2 linked regions of the Elephas maximus indicus genome follow. The protein of the gene in region 1 purifies or fractionates together with the protein of each later gene. This does not show direct contact. Links are inferred from orthologs where the notes say so. Each region holds a gene or a part of one and is shown in the gene's direction. Other genes may lie near its edges. The genes, in order: UBR2 and UBE2B.

What was found.
Region 2: the proteins of UBR2 (region 1) and UBE2B purify together in Homo sapiens (affinity purification with western blotting; 3 studies listed by BioGRID, with this or other methods). This does not show direct contact. The link is inferred for Elephas maximus indicus from reciprocal best matches to the Homo sapiens genes UBR2 and UBE2B.

What each region holds. Positions count from the first base shown.
Region 1 is NC_064819.1:107,010,911-107,018,470, forward strand, and holds the start of UBR2 (E3 ubiquitin-protein ligase UBR2), read left to right. Parts: upstream 1-4,495; 5' UTR 4,496-4,903; coding exon 4,904-4,981; intron 4,982-7,560. UniProt on the Homo sapiens protein: E3 ubiquitin-protein ligase which is a component of the N-end rule pathway.
Region 2 is NC_064820.1:146,804,938-146,812,795, forward strand, and holds the start of UBE2B (ubiquitin-conjugating enzyme E2 B), read left to right. Parts: upstream 1-4,612; 5' UTR 4,613-4,723; coding exon 4,724-4,767; intron 4,768-6,810; coding exon 6,811-6,891; intron 6,892-7,858. Other genes in the region: CDKL3 (cyclin-dependent kinase-like 3), read right to left, coding at 325-504, 4,043-4,063. UniProt on the Homo sapiens protein: E2 ubiquitin-conjugating enzyme that accepts ubiquitin from the ubiquitin-activating enzyme E1 and transfers it to a E3 ubiquitin-protein ligase. In vitro catalyzes 'Lys-11'-, as well as 'Lys-48'- and 'Lys-63'-linked polyubiquitination.

The sequences.
Region 1 (7,560 bases):
CACAGATGGCAACTGCTTTGGGTATAATAATACCCATGTCTGGCAGCCCTGAATCCTTGTCCTTTTCTGGTTGGGTGTCATAGTTTACTAATGTCTTTGAAAAGCAGTCAGACACCAGACCTCTTCTTTCATTTTCCATCACATAATGACCAGATGCAATTCTTCCTCACAGTATGCCATGTGACAGTCCTTTCCACATCCGGAAAAAAGGTAGCAATGACAAGCTAACTTTAGGGAACAAGGAGCCACAAGATCCCATTCCCAGGAAACAACCTGTATCAGTAACAATAGGTATGGAATACATAATGTATCCTTCAAAATCTTTTTATTTTTTTCTTCCCTGAGGACTTTTTGGTATGCCAGCTGCTTTATAACATCTCTATTAAGACTAGAAGAAACTCACTCTCAATGCCCCAAATGAGGTGGGAAAAAAAATTGCAATTGGCTGTCATCATTTTAATCATCTCAGACATAAAAGAGAGAACCAGGTAACTTTGTCCCCAAGAAAAGCAGAGCATGTGTCCACAGATCTTAATCATGAATGAACCTATCTTGAAGTGGCTTTCCTAACATAGAAATGTCTTTGTTCACTCTTTTGAAACAATTCAAAAACACAAAGTTCTCAATATTTTATCCATGGCCTGTAAGAGTCAAATAATATAGGACCCAACAAGGAGAAGGGAGCCTTCCCTGGCTTTTGGCCTACTGTACATGAGCTTGGTTAATTATATAAAATATATATATATGTATAAATTAACTTACCTGGAAATGGGTACACTGGAGAAGCAGCATTGCATGAAAAGAATATGAGCCTTGGAGTTGGAAAGACTTGAGTTCAAAGGCCAGCTCTGCCCCTTACCTGTGTGACTGAATTGATGGCTATAGCTGCATTAAAAATCACCCCAAAACTTAGTGGCTTAAAACATCAATTACTGCTTAATGAGCTCTGAGTTTCTGTTTGGGGTGAAAAAGTTTTGGAAATAGATAGTGATGGTGGTTGCACAACATTGTGAATGTAACAAATGTTACTGAATGCACATGTAAAAATACTTAAAATGGCAAATTTTATGTTTTATATGCTTTGCCATGAAAAATTTTTTTTTTAATTAATCATTTATTCATGATTCTGCAGGTTGGCAATTTAGGCCATTTTTTCTGGTCTCCCTCATGTGTCTGCAGCTACCCACAGGTCAGTTAGGTGCCTCTGCTTCTAGGAGTTGGCTGGCTGCCAGCTGTATCTAGATTCTCCTCCATGTGGTCTCGCATCCTATAGCAGGCTAGCGCAGACTTGTTCTTAGGGAGAAAGTGGGCACTCGAAGGAAGCATGCAAGACCACCTCTGGGGATTTAGGTTTGGGACTGCTATTCTATCACTTCTACCACATTCCATTCACTAAAGCAAGTGACAAGGCCAGCCCAGATTCAAGGGGTAGGGAAATACACAGCACTTCTTTATTTTATTTTATCATGCTTTAGGTGAGAGTTTACAGTACAAATTCGTTTCTCACTCAAAAATGTATACACAAATCATTTTGTGATATTGGTTGCAATCCTCACAACGTGTCAACACTCTTACCCTTTCTACCCCAAGTTCCCTGCGTCCATTCATCAAGTTGTCCTGTCCCTTCCTGCTTTCTCACCTTTGTCTTTGGGCAAGTGTTGCCCATTTGGTCTCATATACTTGAACTAAGAAGCATGTTCCTCACGTGTTATTTTTTGTTTTATAGGCCCATCTAATCTTTGGCTGAAAGGTGGACGTTGGGAGTGGCTTCAGTTCCGAGTTAGCAGGGTGTCTGGGGGCCATAGTCTCGGGGGTTCCTCTAGTCTCTGCCAGACCAGTAAGTCTGGTCTTTTTTTGTAGACACCACTTCTTGATGTAAAGAGTGGTAGAGTCACGTTGTAAAGGAAGTGCCTACAGGAAGCCCCCTAATGAGGGTCATTAAACTGCAGTCAACCTACCACAGTGACCTTGGGAAAGTTATCTTACCTTCATAAGTCTCAGTTTTGTTGTATCTAAACTGAAATGTATTAACACTTATCTGAAAGATGCTAGTTGAGAATAGGAATAATATACCTATTACTGTTACCAGCTGGCATAGCATTTATTAGTTTATATGAAAACTAACTGCCATGAAACTTATTGTTCCTGATTCATGCCAAGTCTGTTCCAGCCTTAAAACCCTTGCTGTTGCTGTCTACTTTGCCTAGAATGCCCTTGTCCCAGATCTTCACATGACTGACCCTTTCTTCTCATTCAAGACTCAGCTCAACTTTCCCCTCCTCAGATATACCTCTCTGATCACCCTAATTATTTTCTTTGAACATTTCTCAATATCTGTAATTGTATAATGTATTCACTCACTTACTTTTTTATTGTCTGTCTCTTCCACTAAAATATAAGCCCATGAAAGCAGTAACTGTGCCTGCTAATTGATATCTTGCCAGTAACAAGAATGTGACTGGCATTTAGTAGGAGCTTCAGAAAATATGCACTGAATGAATTGATGGGTGGATGGAAGGATGAATATGGCCAAAGACTGGGCTTTGTGGGAAATAGTACATAGATGGGTATCTTTTGCAGGGGGAGAGAGAGGGAAGTAGGTAATGAGCTGGAGGTTGAGACCATGTCTAGGCCCAGTGAGGAGCCAGGGTGGAAAGCCCTGAGCATAGGGAAGGTCCTGTGCCTGGGACTGGGTATAACAGGTGGCACCCAAGTGGGCCTTTTTACAGTCCTGCCCCTTCTGAGCCTCAGTTTGTACCTTTTGCCCTTTCACCAGTTACGTTATTTCCTTTCACCCAGAAAACTCCCTTCTACAAATTTATCCTTTGCTATACCTAAAATTTGGAAATCCTGGTGGCATAGTGGTTAAGTGCTATGGCTGCTAACCAAGAGGCCAGCAGTTTGAATCCACCAGGCGCTCCTTGCAAACTCTATGGGACAGTTCTACTCTGTTCTATAGGGTCGCTATGAGTTGGGATCGACTCGACAGCAGTGGGTTTTGTGGGTATACCTAAAATTTAGCTTGCCAATCAATATGAAAATGGAATTTAATTGAATATTCTTTTAATCACACAAAACACTGGAAAGAACCAATGAGTTCATCAATAGTTTAAACACATTGCGATACATTCATGGAATAGCACAGAACGCTATGCAGTCATAAAAATAACAAAGCATTATTAGGTTAAAAAAACCAAGGTGTATTGGGAATCTAATACGTCAGGCACTGTTTTAGGAACATATGTACATAAGTGAAAACAGAAAGTTACTGCCTACATGGAGCTCACATTTTAACTATCCTAAAAATATGGCAAACTTTATCATCTGAATCACCACCAATCCCAACACAAATACCTAGAAATGTTGGTTGAAAATATAATAATCTCAAATGTATATCTGAAAGGTTGAGGCACCCAGTGCTTCTGATTATGGAACCTTTGTGTTTTCTCTTCCTGGATGCTTGTAAGATTCTAAAATTTCCAAATTATAACAACAACAAAAACATGTTCCCTACTTGGTCTGGGTCAGAACTTTTTTTTTTTTTTTTTTTTGCGTAATGTAACTCACAACTTCCTTCTGGGAAAAAATTAGCACTCCTGATAAAACGTGTAACCAATTTTCTGATAAACTCTAAATGGTTGAAGATTTGTTTTAAGAAACCCATTCACCCAACTGTCAGTCAAGAATCTAATTGCCATTAACCAAACAGAATTTTTTTAAATATCTAATCTAACAATGGTTGTCTATGTCTATCAAATGTCCTTACCAAGAGTAAATCTTCAAATTGGCCTGATACAGTCCTTTTCCTTTGCAGGAAATTTTCGTAATCTTGATAAGCGGTCATAACTAAATTGCTTGAAAAGTTTTTCTATTAACAGCATTTAAACATATTTTAAAACCTTAAAACACCTGGGTAATGTTCAATTCGGTACTAGTCTAAGGGGAGAGAGGATGATGGATGACAGGGTCAAAGAATTCTACAGGAGTAGAATGCAATTCATCCATTCTTTTGACAAGCATTTGAGTGCCTACCTTAAGTCAGGCTTTGACAAGTACTTACGTGTCTACCACGTGCCAGGCACTGTTCAAAGCGCTGAAAATACAAAAATGAACAATTGGGTGTATGGGATAAAACTACAATTCCCACATTATCGTGTTCTGGTGCCTCTTCCGGAAATCCTGGTGGTGTAGTGGTTAAGAGCTACAGCTGCTAACCAAAACGTCCGCAGTTCGGATCCACCAGGCGCTCCTTGGAAACTCTATGGGGCAGTTCTACTCTGTCCTACAGGGTCGCTATCAATCCGAATCGACTCCACGACAAGAGGTTTGGTTTGGTCTTGGGTTCGTGCCTTTCCCAGGTAGGCGTCTCATGCCACTAATCTCTTCCCATGATTCTAGTCGTCCAGAAAGTCCCGCCCCCTTATCTGCCATTTGCTCAGTCTCCGGTTAGAAATGGACTACAACTCCCACAATACCCTCGTGGGGCACCCTATAAGGGTGTCACCGTTCTCTGTGCTGTGCTGAGATCTACTACAGTTCCCAGTATCCTCCTCTTCCCCTCCTGAGTGTTATTGCCCCTTTCCCGGTGCGGGAGACGGTAGTAGCGAGCAAGGGTGCCAGGTTTGGGTTCCTCTGTGTCCTTCCCCTGGGCAGGGACGAAGCAGTGACTTGACGCTTAGGCGCTGAGCCCGGGCGGGAGCGCAGAAGACCGCCGTCCCTCCTGTCCGGCTCACCGCGCCTTTCTCCCTCTGCTGCTTCCCCCGCAGCCGCCTGGGCGGCTCCGGGACTGACTGACTGACTGCCTGGGGCGAGGGTAGCGGTCGCGGCCGCCGGGGCCGTGGCGAGGCCGCGGCCCTCGGGGCGGCGGTAGCGGCGTCAGCGCTGGGGAGAAGGAGAAGGGAAGATGGCGTCGGAGCTGGAGCCCGAGGTGCAGGCCATCGACCGGAGTTTGCTGGAATGTTCGGCCGAGGAAACCGCGGGGGTGAGTGCCGGACCCGGGCGGGGACGTCCAGCCCTCGCTGGCCGCGCCGGGGGGAGGAACCCACTCCTGGAAATCCTGGTGCAGTCTGGTCCTGACTTGGGGTGACGACCGGGCCGGCCTGGCCTTGTGGAGTAACGGCCCGGGCAGGCCACCGATCGTTTTTCCCCTCTCCTTTCTCTCCTTCCCTCTTCATTCTCAAACAGCCGCCAGCACTGCACTGTGCACCAGCCGCGTTTACATTCCCTTTTAGTCCCGGCTGACCCAAGAGCTCTCATTATTCTTCTTCCCCTCACCCTCCCGCAAGTCCCCAACACGCAGGCCTTTGCCCTTTATTCCAGCTCTTGGAAGATGGGAGGGAAAGAGATGTTTCCTAGCGTTTTGGGTATTATCGCCCTACTTGGTCTTCCCGATTCCGTTTTCTGAGATAAGCGGAGATACACATTGTCCACCAAAAAAGGTTCATTAACTGAGCCCCCACTTTGTTTCTGGGACTGCCCTAGGCACCGGGGATGCAAACGACACAGTTCTCTCCCTTAACCCCTTCAGCGCGCTTTTTAACCTGTTTGGTCGGTCCACAACGTTTATGAATGCGTGGAAGATAGTGTCTTGACACGTTTAGTGAATGTGTGAAAGTAGTAGTGATGGAGGCTGCAGGTGAAATTTTTTTTTTCTAGGAGTTGATGGTCTTTGGATAGACGACAAACGTTATATAACTTCGAGGCAGCAGTTTTCACCAAATATAAGCTAATAATATGAGGGTTGGCTAAAGCATAGTAGAAGCAGTATGCCCCAAACTGATACTTAGCATTGTAGTGAAACTGTAATTTGAATATGCTAGTAGTTGTAAAATGATTGATGAAACTCGATGGCATTTTTCCCCAAGCAGGACAGGGAACACCCATTAGAACAGATTGTCCAGATTGATTATGAATGGACCAAAACAACTTGGGCCCCACCTCTAAGGCCTCCAGTTTAAAAAACTACTAGGAAGGGAGTGAACACAAGTCGACAGTCTGAATGTTATGAAAAAAATTTGAGCAGGGGGCACTGTGGGGCTGTTGGGCAGTGAAGTTATTTTGAGTGAATTGATGAAGACACTGAAGTTTTAGGGTGGAAATAAGTGAAGGCAGGAGTAGAGGTGAACATTTAAAGAAATCCATGGTTCTTTGCTTGTTTTTTTGTTGTTGGTTTTAACCACAGTCCTGACTTGGTTGCTTAGTCTATGTTTTCTTTTACTTTCTGCTTAATGTGGTAACAACCCAAGGATTTACATCCCCCATCTGCGTTTCATTGGTAATTATCAAAGAGATTTGAACAAGAAAATGAAAGCAGCATTACAAGTAAACAGTAATATTATAATAACGGCAGCTATTCCTTATCCATGGTCTTGCCTGTTGATATTGAATAAGTTAGTTACCTCAAAGTAATTTTTTTAATCCCGCCAAATATTAGTGCCTGTTGGCCCAGAGATGCAGGCTACATATTCTATTATCCCTATTCTAAAAGTGCAAACTATTGAGTAGCAGAGCTTCTCCAACTTGTTGAGGTTCCTGAAGAAACCAGTTAACAGAAACGGTGCTGGAGACCAGTGCTCCTAGTTCTTGAGCAGTGAAATTCTCAAGCAGACACAATGGGGAAAATAAAGGGAAATGCAATAAAAATTTATTAATTTGGACTTCATTTGAGTTTGTGAAGATCAACAAACTGAATTCCATTTTACTATTGCTCTGTTTACTTTAAATGGCTTTCTGACCAATAATATAAAGAAAAATGTTTACTCTAATAATTAACAAAATTCCTTCAAATATTAGGTGCAAACTAATATGAAAATATAAGATTCCTCCAGCTATAAAGCCTAGCCTTACTTTGTAAAGGATTACTGTCTGTATTTTAGTTATGTTAGCATAGCACTTAAAACTATTCTTTCAACTTAGGCTCCAGCACAGCTCTTTTTCACAGACTTAATAAAGTTTCCTCTCCAATTTAAAGTAAATGTTAGAGAGGATAAACAATACTGGTAATTTGTTGGGATCACATCCGTTTTAGATTACTAGTGAGCGCTAGTTTCTTCTTTCCCACACTTTATTTACACACCGCTTTTCTTATTTCTGTTATGAGGAGAAAGGACTTTATTGTGATCCCATATATCCTAAGTACTATGCCTCACAAAAAGCATCTAGGCTGGCTTTAATTATTATAAATTTAGGATATGGAAATGGCTCCCTCTTCTCAGTCTTCTCATTTTCCTGATAGAATTGATTCCACAACAACTATGACTTTCCCAAAACTTCTCAGCTCTTATTTACTACATTTTGTGCTCCACAGATTTGATTATAATAATATTGTGCTCTAATGGGTGATTATGTTTTAAGAAATACATGTATTGTTTTCCCCCAATTATAAATGAAATACATATTCGCTGTAGAAGTTTTAAGTCTATATATATTTTTTGCTTTAATATTTTAACAGATTTGAAAAAAAATTCATACACAGTCAATTCAGTGGGTTTTAGTATATTCATAGAGTTGTACAACCATCACAGCAATTAATCTTAGAACATTTTCATCACCCTAAAAAAG
Region 2 (7,858 bases), on another chromosome or scaffold:
TATCTCTTACATCTTTATAGTCCCAGAATCTAGCACAATGCCTTGCACAAAGCAGTCATTTTTATTCAATATTCATTATACTAGAATATTTCTGAGTAATTATTTCACAACACTTGGCATAGCTTTTGTTAAGTTATACACAAGCACATGCATCTTTTATCACTATAAAATTACAAAATGTTAGATAATAAACGGAGTATCACACTTGTTTTTCAGTTAATGTCTTAGCACATGTGTTAACTGAAATATTCTTGTAAACAATTTTTTTTATTTTCTAACAATTTCTCTTATGATTTATAGAACAATTAAGCAAAAGAAGCAAACCTTTAGAAACTTTATTTCTCTCGTTGCGATTTTGTTGACAGATTTTTCTGGTTTCTCATAAAATATCTTAATGGCCACTATCTGCCCAGTAACCTTATGTTTACACTTCATGACTGTTCCATAACTTCCCTCTCCCACTTTTCCAAGGGTTTCATACATCTCCATTTTAAAGTCTGGCTTCTACTTCCTCAGAGAAATAAAGGAAAAAAAAATGTTAAACGTTTATAGTTTTATTTATTCAAGCTGGATAATGCATTTCCAAAATAAACCCATACTTTCAAATACAGAAACATAGAAAAAATCACGAATCTTTTCCACAGAATCTGTCTTTGAGCACTCCGCCAGCCCGCCAATGAAGTGTTCCTATGGGGCTCCTGCCCTTACCAGAACTTATGGCTCGGCTGCCTCGGTTATTCCCATTAACACTGAGGTTCCCTTACTACGTGTCACCCATCTATGAAGTGTGTAGTCCCAACACTTCCTGTCATTCCTTCGTCAAATATTAGGTCCCCGCACCACTGCAGCTCCCACACATCAGGCCCGGGACTGAGGAAAGCATAAGTCCCGCCCGCTCCTCAAATCCGACGTCTAAGGTCCTGGACCGGAGTCGCGCCCCTCACCCCGCTGTCGAGTTAGTCCGGGCAGCCACCGCCGCCTCAGCCCATTCTGCAGTCCTGTCAGCCTAGCTCCGCGCAGTCCCAGCCGGGCAACGGGACACGGACCCGCCTCTGCCAGCCAACCCCGCCAGCTCGCAGCCGCCCGCTACCATGGCAACGCAGCGACAACACTCTGCCCCTAGTGCGCAAGACCGGATTATCGGCCGGGTCCGACCCGGAAGGAAAGTGAGAAAAAGCGGAAAGGGCTCCTGGAGCGCGCTAAAATGGAAGCTTGCTTGGGGATCCGTTGGGGTCTTGGTGGGTTTGGCTTCGCTCAAACTCGGGGCCTCCTCACAAGGTTAGTTTTGAGCGGGATGGGAAGCATCCACATTTTGACAGCAGCATGAGTGTGTGGCATGCGTCGCGGACGCCACCAGGCTGGAGAACACCCGCCGCTAAAAGAATGGCTGTTGTCATTAAGCTGTGATAGTTTGTAAAGCGAGACTTCCAAGAAAGTCTTGTGTGGTTTTTGTTTTTTAAGTTACTTAGTACAATACTATTCCATGGACCTGAGTTTGACCTCAGGTGTTGACATTCATCCTTAAACGGGTATATCATCAAGAATATTTCGTGAACACCTCTCTTTAAAATTTCTTCCAACTCCTAGTAATCCTTTTTAAAAAAGTCCCTCACTACATGTTAAAATAGCCCCTTGGGGAAAAGACCCTGAAGAAAGTAATTCAAAGGATTTTACCACACACAGGGAGTGACATGCAATAGCACAGAGAAAAAGGGGCCAGTGTTTAATTGCTTAAGGACTGGACATAGGGTTCAACTGTAGTGACAGCTTAAAAATGAATAACTAGAGTAATGCCGAACAAGTACCTAGGAAGTACTGCCTTTCTCGGGGTTTTAGTTTCTTCTGTAAAATGAGATAAGTGTATAAGGTCAAATCCCACCATGCTTCCTCTAAATAAATTATTATCTAATATTGTTATCTAATAAATCTAGCCCAGTGCTTCCCACCCCAACATGGACATTAAAATCACACCTGGATAGCTTTTAAGAAGTCCTCACTCCCAGAAATTCTGATTCACTTGGGATGGGGTAAAGGAGAAAACCCTGGTGGTGCAGTGGTTAGGTGCTATGGCTGCTAACCAAAGAGACCCTAGTTCAAATCCACCAGGCGCTCCTTGGAAACTCTATGGGGCAGTTCTACTCTGTCCTATAGGGTCGCTATGAGTCGGAATCGACTCGACGGCACTGGGTTTGGGGTAAAGGAATTGGTATTTTAAAAGTTCCTCCAAGTGTTTCTAATATGCTGCTACGGTTTAGAGCTTCTGAGTGGGGAGAGTGAGGAGGAATGATCCTGGTTTTCCTTTTCATTAGCAAAATATTCAGAGTCGTCTTTCCTTTTGAAAAGTTACTCAACAATGTTTAAAAATCCTTGTAATCTATGAGTGTCAAAGTTAATCTTTGCCCAGACTTGCTGTAAGCATATTTATTTAACATTTATTGTGGGTTAAATATTTGTAAAGAACAGAACATGAATCAGACTGGTCTCTGCCCTCAGTGAGCTCACAATCTAGAGCCACAGAATTGTTCAAAACAAAAAAACCAAAACCATTGCCGTCGAGTCAATTCCATACTGCCGACCTTTTTGGTTAGCAGCTGTAGCTCTTAACCACTACTCCTGCCAGGGTTTCCACAGAATTGATAAGACTATACAATTTCAGAAACCCTGGCAGCAGTAATGGTTAAGTACTACAGCTGCCAACCAAGAGGTCGGCAGTTCGAAACCACGAGGCACTCCTTGGAAACCCTACAGGGCAGTTCTACTCTGCCCTATATGGTCACTATGAGTTGGAATGACTCGATGGCAATGGGTTTTATACAGTTTTAGCTTGAAATTATTCATTTTACAAATAGGCTGTGGCAGGCTTGGAGACCTGAACAGCCAATGATTCTTCCTTATACATCGCTCTAAGACTATGAAGATCCTTGACAGAATTTGTCAAAAATGTTACTTCATTTTGGAAAACCATGTACAATTAAAATTGCTAGATAAATTACATCACAGGGTTTTTAAAAAGTAACTCTTTAACCTTTTTTCTTTAGCATTTCACTGCGTGGTACCCTATACCGTCTGTTTTACTCCCTAGCTGTGGAGAATATGGTAGGAAGGCAAAAAAAATCAGCTTTTGACTTAGAGAATCACATTTGTGATTGAATAGCAGGACCTATCAAGAGTTAGGCCTAGCTAGCTTGATCACCAAGGCTGTTACTAAAAGCTAACGATAGAATTCAGGATTTGAAAAAAGGGAGGTACCAGTAAAGCTAACCCTTCCTGGTTTCTTGGAAATACAGGCAAGCTGAAGAAAGACTGATACAATGCAAAGAAATTTCCCTGCCTTGAGCTGAAGAATTTGTCAAGTAAATATGAAAAATTGCTGAGAGTCATCCTGAGCAACAAAGACCTGGAGTCAGTTAAAGACTATAGCTGGAGGAAACTCAGTGAAGAGAAAATGGCACAGGATGGACACTTCTTGCTCATTTGGGCCTTGCTTGGCTAGTGTAGAAAACCAGAAATGAGTTCTCTCAGGCTAGATATATAAATAAGTCCCACCCATGTCAGCACATCTCCCGCAGATCTGAATCGTATTTGTAGGTTTCTTTAACAACAGATCACCTGTCGCACCCTCGCAGTTCTTGACAAATACGATTCCCTACCGTAGCCCAACCCATGGATTCTTAACACAAGTCCTCAAATGAGAGAACCATACAGGAAAAACAAAACTTTTAATTCCGTGCTTATTTTAAACAACAACAACAAAAAAGCCGTGGACAATCTGTACACCGTTTTTTAATCTTTGCCCAGAATTTCCAATCCTGAAAACTCCACTGCAAAAGAAAGAGGCTATTTGATGACCTAAGGAAGAATTTCGGGGGATTTTGTTTCGTGTGGGCCTCAGCATTTAATGCTGCGCTTATTAAAAGATCGAGAAAGTCCCTACACTACTACTTTGCCTTAAGAGCCAGACTGATTAACCACTGAAACAACGAGAGGGAATTTTATGTCCAAATTATTTTGGGCTCCATTTTAAAGATTTAGAAAGACAAACCTGCTTCCGGCATGACCTCATCGATAATGTAGTCCCTGTACGTGAGACAGACTGATACAGGTGTACCCCACCCTAATACCCATAAACTTGGGTACCCGCATCATAGAGCTGGCTGAGACTGATTCAGGCGGCGGTCCCACGTGATCCATTCTAATCGCGTCATAGGGACGCGTGGTTCTAGCTACCTCACCCCTCCCCGTCAGGGGTGGATTGTTGACAACGCCGCCGGTGTCACGTGACCTGACGTCATTCCACCTCCTTTCCCTGAAGTCCCTGGACCCGGATGCGTCCGTCTCTCCCCACCCAGCCGAGCCTAAGTCAGTGAAGGGGGGAAACAGGGTGGTGTTTCGGTCACGATGGCTTTTAATCCAATGGGTCTAAGCATAAAGAATACCAACTTGTCGAGGAGTTCAGGAAGCCAAAATGAGAGCGGTCCTTGCTGAGAGGCTCCCGGAACGTGCTCTCCTACATCCCGCCCTCGCTCACCTTGTCCCCCTCCCCTCCCTCTGTGGTACTGGCGGAGGGCGGAGGGATCTGGAGGCGGCGGAGGGAGACGTCATTGCAGGGTTGTTTGTGCAGCGCGGCGGCGGTGACCCACAGTGACTCGGCCGCCGCGCCGGGGGGTGGGGGGGGCTGTGCGGAACTCTTTTCTTTCAGACTGACCGCGGGGCAGCTTGGAGCATGTCTACCCCGGCCCGAAGGAGGCTCATGCGGGATTTCAAGCGGTAAGGGCCTTCACCTTCACCTGGCCGACGGCTCCTTCTCAAAGCTATGGAGCTGCAGGGCGGGGACCTCGGACACGTTCCCCTCACGACCCTAAGGGGACTGGCTGTGGGCCCTAGCGGGATCGACGGGAACCCAGTGGTAGTCTTCGCACCCACTCCCTCTTGCTGTTCCTTAGCGGCGTTAGAAATCTCGATATCCTCCCCCTCTCAATCTTAGCCAAAAAAAGTAAACAAAAAAGGTGGCTGTCGCCGGCCTAAGGTTCCCTGCTGCCCACTTCTGCCAGCTTCCCGACGTCTTGTCCAAGCGCTCAAACCTTATCCTCCCGCCCCTGCACCCTACTGCGCCCTTTCTCTGCCTCCCCAAAGTGAGCTCTGATGCAGAAGCTTGTTCCCTGTCTGCTGAACTCGTCAGCTTTGTTCAACAGCTCCACGTTCTCCTTTGAGGGCCAGAGGTTGGGGTAAAGGTCCCCCTCCCCCCGCCTCGTCATTCCTTTTCTTTCAGCATTGAGGGTGGGGTCTGAAGTGAGAGGCCCGGAGGTTGCTAACCCATCCCGCGAAACCCGACTCTGCCCCCGCCTGCCTGAAAGGACCTTGAGAACTGGCCGGGAGGCCTGGGCCCCGGGCTGCCAGCTCCGGTGCCAGTGCCTTCTGGTGTATAAAGCCCTATCTATAATCTCCAAATCCTTCTGGAAACATGCCTTCTGTCAAACGGGCGCTAACCTGATACTCCCTGGGCCTCTTTTTGTAAAGTAGGGCTTTGTTAGGAGGTGTTACGGTTACTGAGGAGGAAATGATTTTTTCAGTTGTTTACCTCTTACTGAATACCTGGAGGTTGAGAAAAATAAAAATAAGGGGTGAGAGGATTTAGTACCGCAATTCTCTGCACAAGCCACAGTTTTCTGGGGGAGTGTAAAAGGTTAAAGTAACCTCCCAACTTTCCCATTATAAAGCCGTAGTTGAGGCATTTGGAAACTATTGTTTCGGGCTTTGCCCAACTTAGCTGAAATCACTCAGAGCTTCTCTTAGCTGTTCACCTCTGATGAGCGTCAAGCAATGTGTAGTTTCTCTAAGGGTCTTATTCTTCGTGGCTTAATATCCTTGAGGTGGAGTAAAAACCATTTTTATGTGGACTAAAGGGGAAAGTATCATGCCACATATGATAATAATTGATAGATGATAGAGCTTTTATTTAGATGACAGTCTTTAAAAGAATATACTTTGTTTAGTCCAAAAGTCTTTCTAAAGTTTGAAATTTGTAGATTTCAGATTAACTCTTATGATTGGAATTCAAATACTAAAGCTTGCAGAGCCTGTCCGTTGTTCCCCTACTTGCTTACTGTTTTTCTCTGCTTAATTCTGGATTGAACACATGGCCCCCTTGGTAGTTTTCCAGGGGTTATGAGAATTTGTATTGGATCTCCTGGTTTGCCGGGTATGATTTGGTTTTTAGTATAGAGCCCTAAAATAGACCAAACTGAAGCTTCAGATTACTATAAATGCCATCGCTAACTGAAGCAAATGTGATAAAGGTGCTCTCCTTCCTAAAACTGATTTCCTAATTAAAAGAATATGAGCAAAAAATAAATAAGCACTTGCAGTCCTTTAGCATTTACACTTAGGTTGTGTGTGTGTGTTGCACACGTAGCTGTGGTTAGGAGTTTCAATCTTTGTTTAGAGCAGCAGATCCTGTTCTGTAAAAATATTTTTGCACTTGAGTTTGTGTGTTTTGCTTTTGGTTTTTTTTGTTGTTCAGGAGGACAGTCTGTATGCATCAGTTTTTCAAGAGATCATATCTTAACCTTGAAAATACTTGAAAAGGATGAATCCCAAGCCCTTGGGACTTATAGAAAATTTGCAGAGATATTTAATAAGTATATATACCTTTTTTTTTTTAAGTCAGGTATAGTTCATTCCAGCTCAACATAAGCTAAGGAAATTAGTTTGTGTCGCCAAAGTAGATGATACAGAGAACGTCGGTGTTTCGTTTGGCCTCCTTGGAGTCCTTAGTGTTTGATTTTTAAAGTTACTACTATGGATTCCTAGGTTGCAAGAGGACCCACCTGTGGGTGTTAGTGGCGCACCATCTGAAAACAACATCATGCAGTGGAACGCTGTTATATTTGGGTGAGTTGAAAGGTAACAATAGGTGTGGTGATTCTTGAGAAAAGTTAATATGTAACAAATGTCTAGAAAAAAGACTGAGGTGGAATCAGGGACCTGAAGGACTGAAACTGCAAGATAAATTAGAAAAAATTTTTTGGTTAAGAATTTTGGCACTTACATAGAATATATTTGCGCTTTAGCATTACATATTGATTTTATAGTCATTTTGGTTTTACTTAATGAAAAATACCATTTGAAACTAAATTGAATAATAAAGGAGAAAAGATAAATTCTTTTGTACAAAATGTACCAGGTAAGTATTCTGCTCACATTTTATTGCGACTGTAAAAAGGCTTGGAACCAAAAACATTGTGAACTTTCTCTATGGCGAGAATGTAAATGAAAATGTTTCACAGCCCAGTGTAAAATAACTGAATGGATCCATTTGATAAACAGCCTTCTTACAAATGATATGTTTTACATATATGCCTTTTAATTTAAATTTTCCTTAATGCCTTTTTTTTTTGCCCCTGGACTTGATCCTTTTTTTCTTTCATTTTTTTTAAACTAGGGTTTTGGACTAAAATTTGAAATTCAGATTTGTTTTGAAGGAATGCGTTGGTAAAAGAAATTCTCAGTTGCCACAGAATCAGTTACAAGAGTATACGTTAAAAAAAAAAAAAAAGACTAGAAAGAAAAAATTAAAGAAGCAAAACACTGTTTTAAAGTGACCATCCATTACATTCAGACTGTTAACTGTTTTTTTTTAATTCTGAATGTGCCTTGCAAATAATAAACTTTGTGCTGCTGCTTAGGAAAGGTGAAATTGGGACATGGAGGCAAGAGAAAAAGAGCAAAAGAAAATGACTTTCTTGGTAACATCAGCTATACCTAGCCAATTTGAACAAGAGTGATTTTGGGGAACTACTAACTGTTGGAAAGTAAATCACTGTGGTTTGATGTCATAATTATCTTAAACTATCAATTT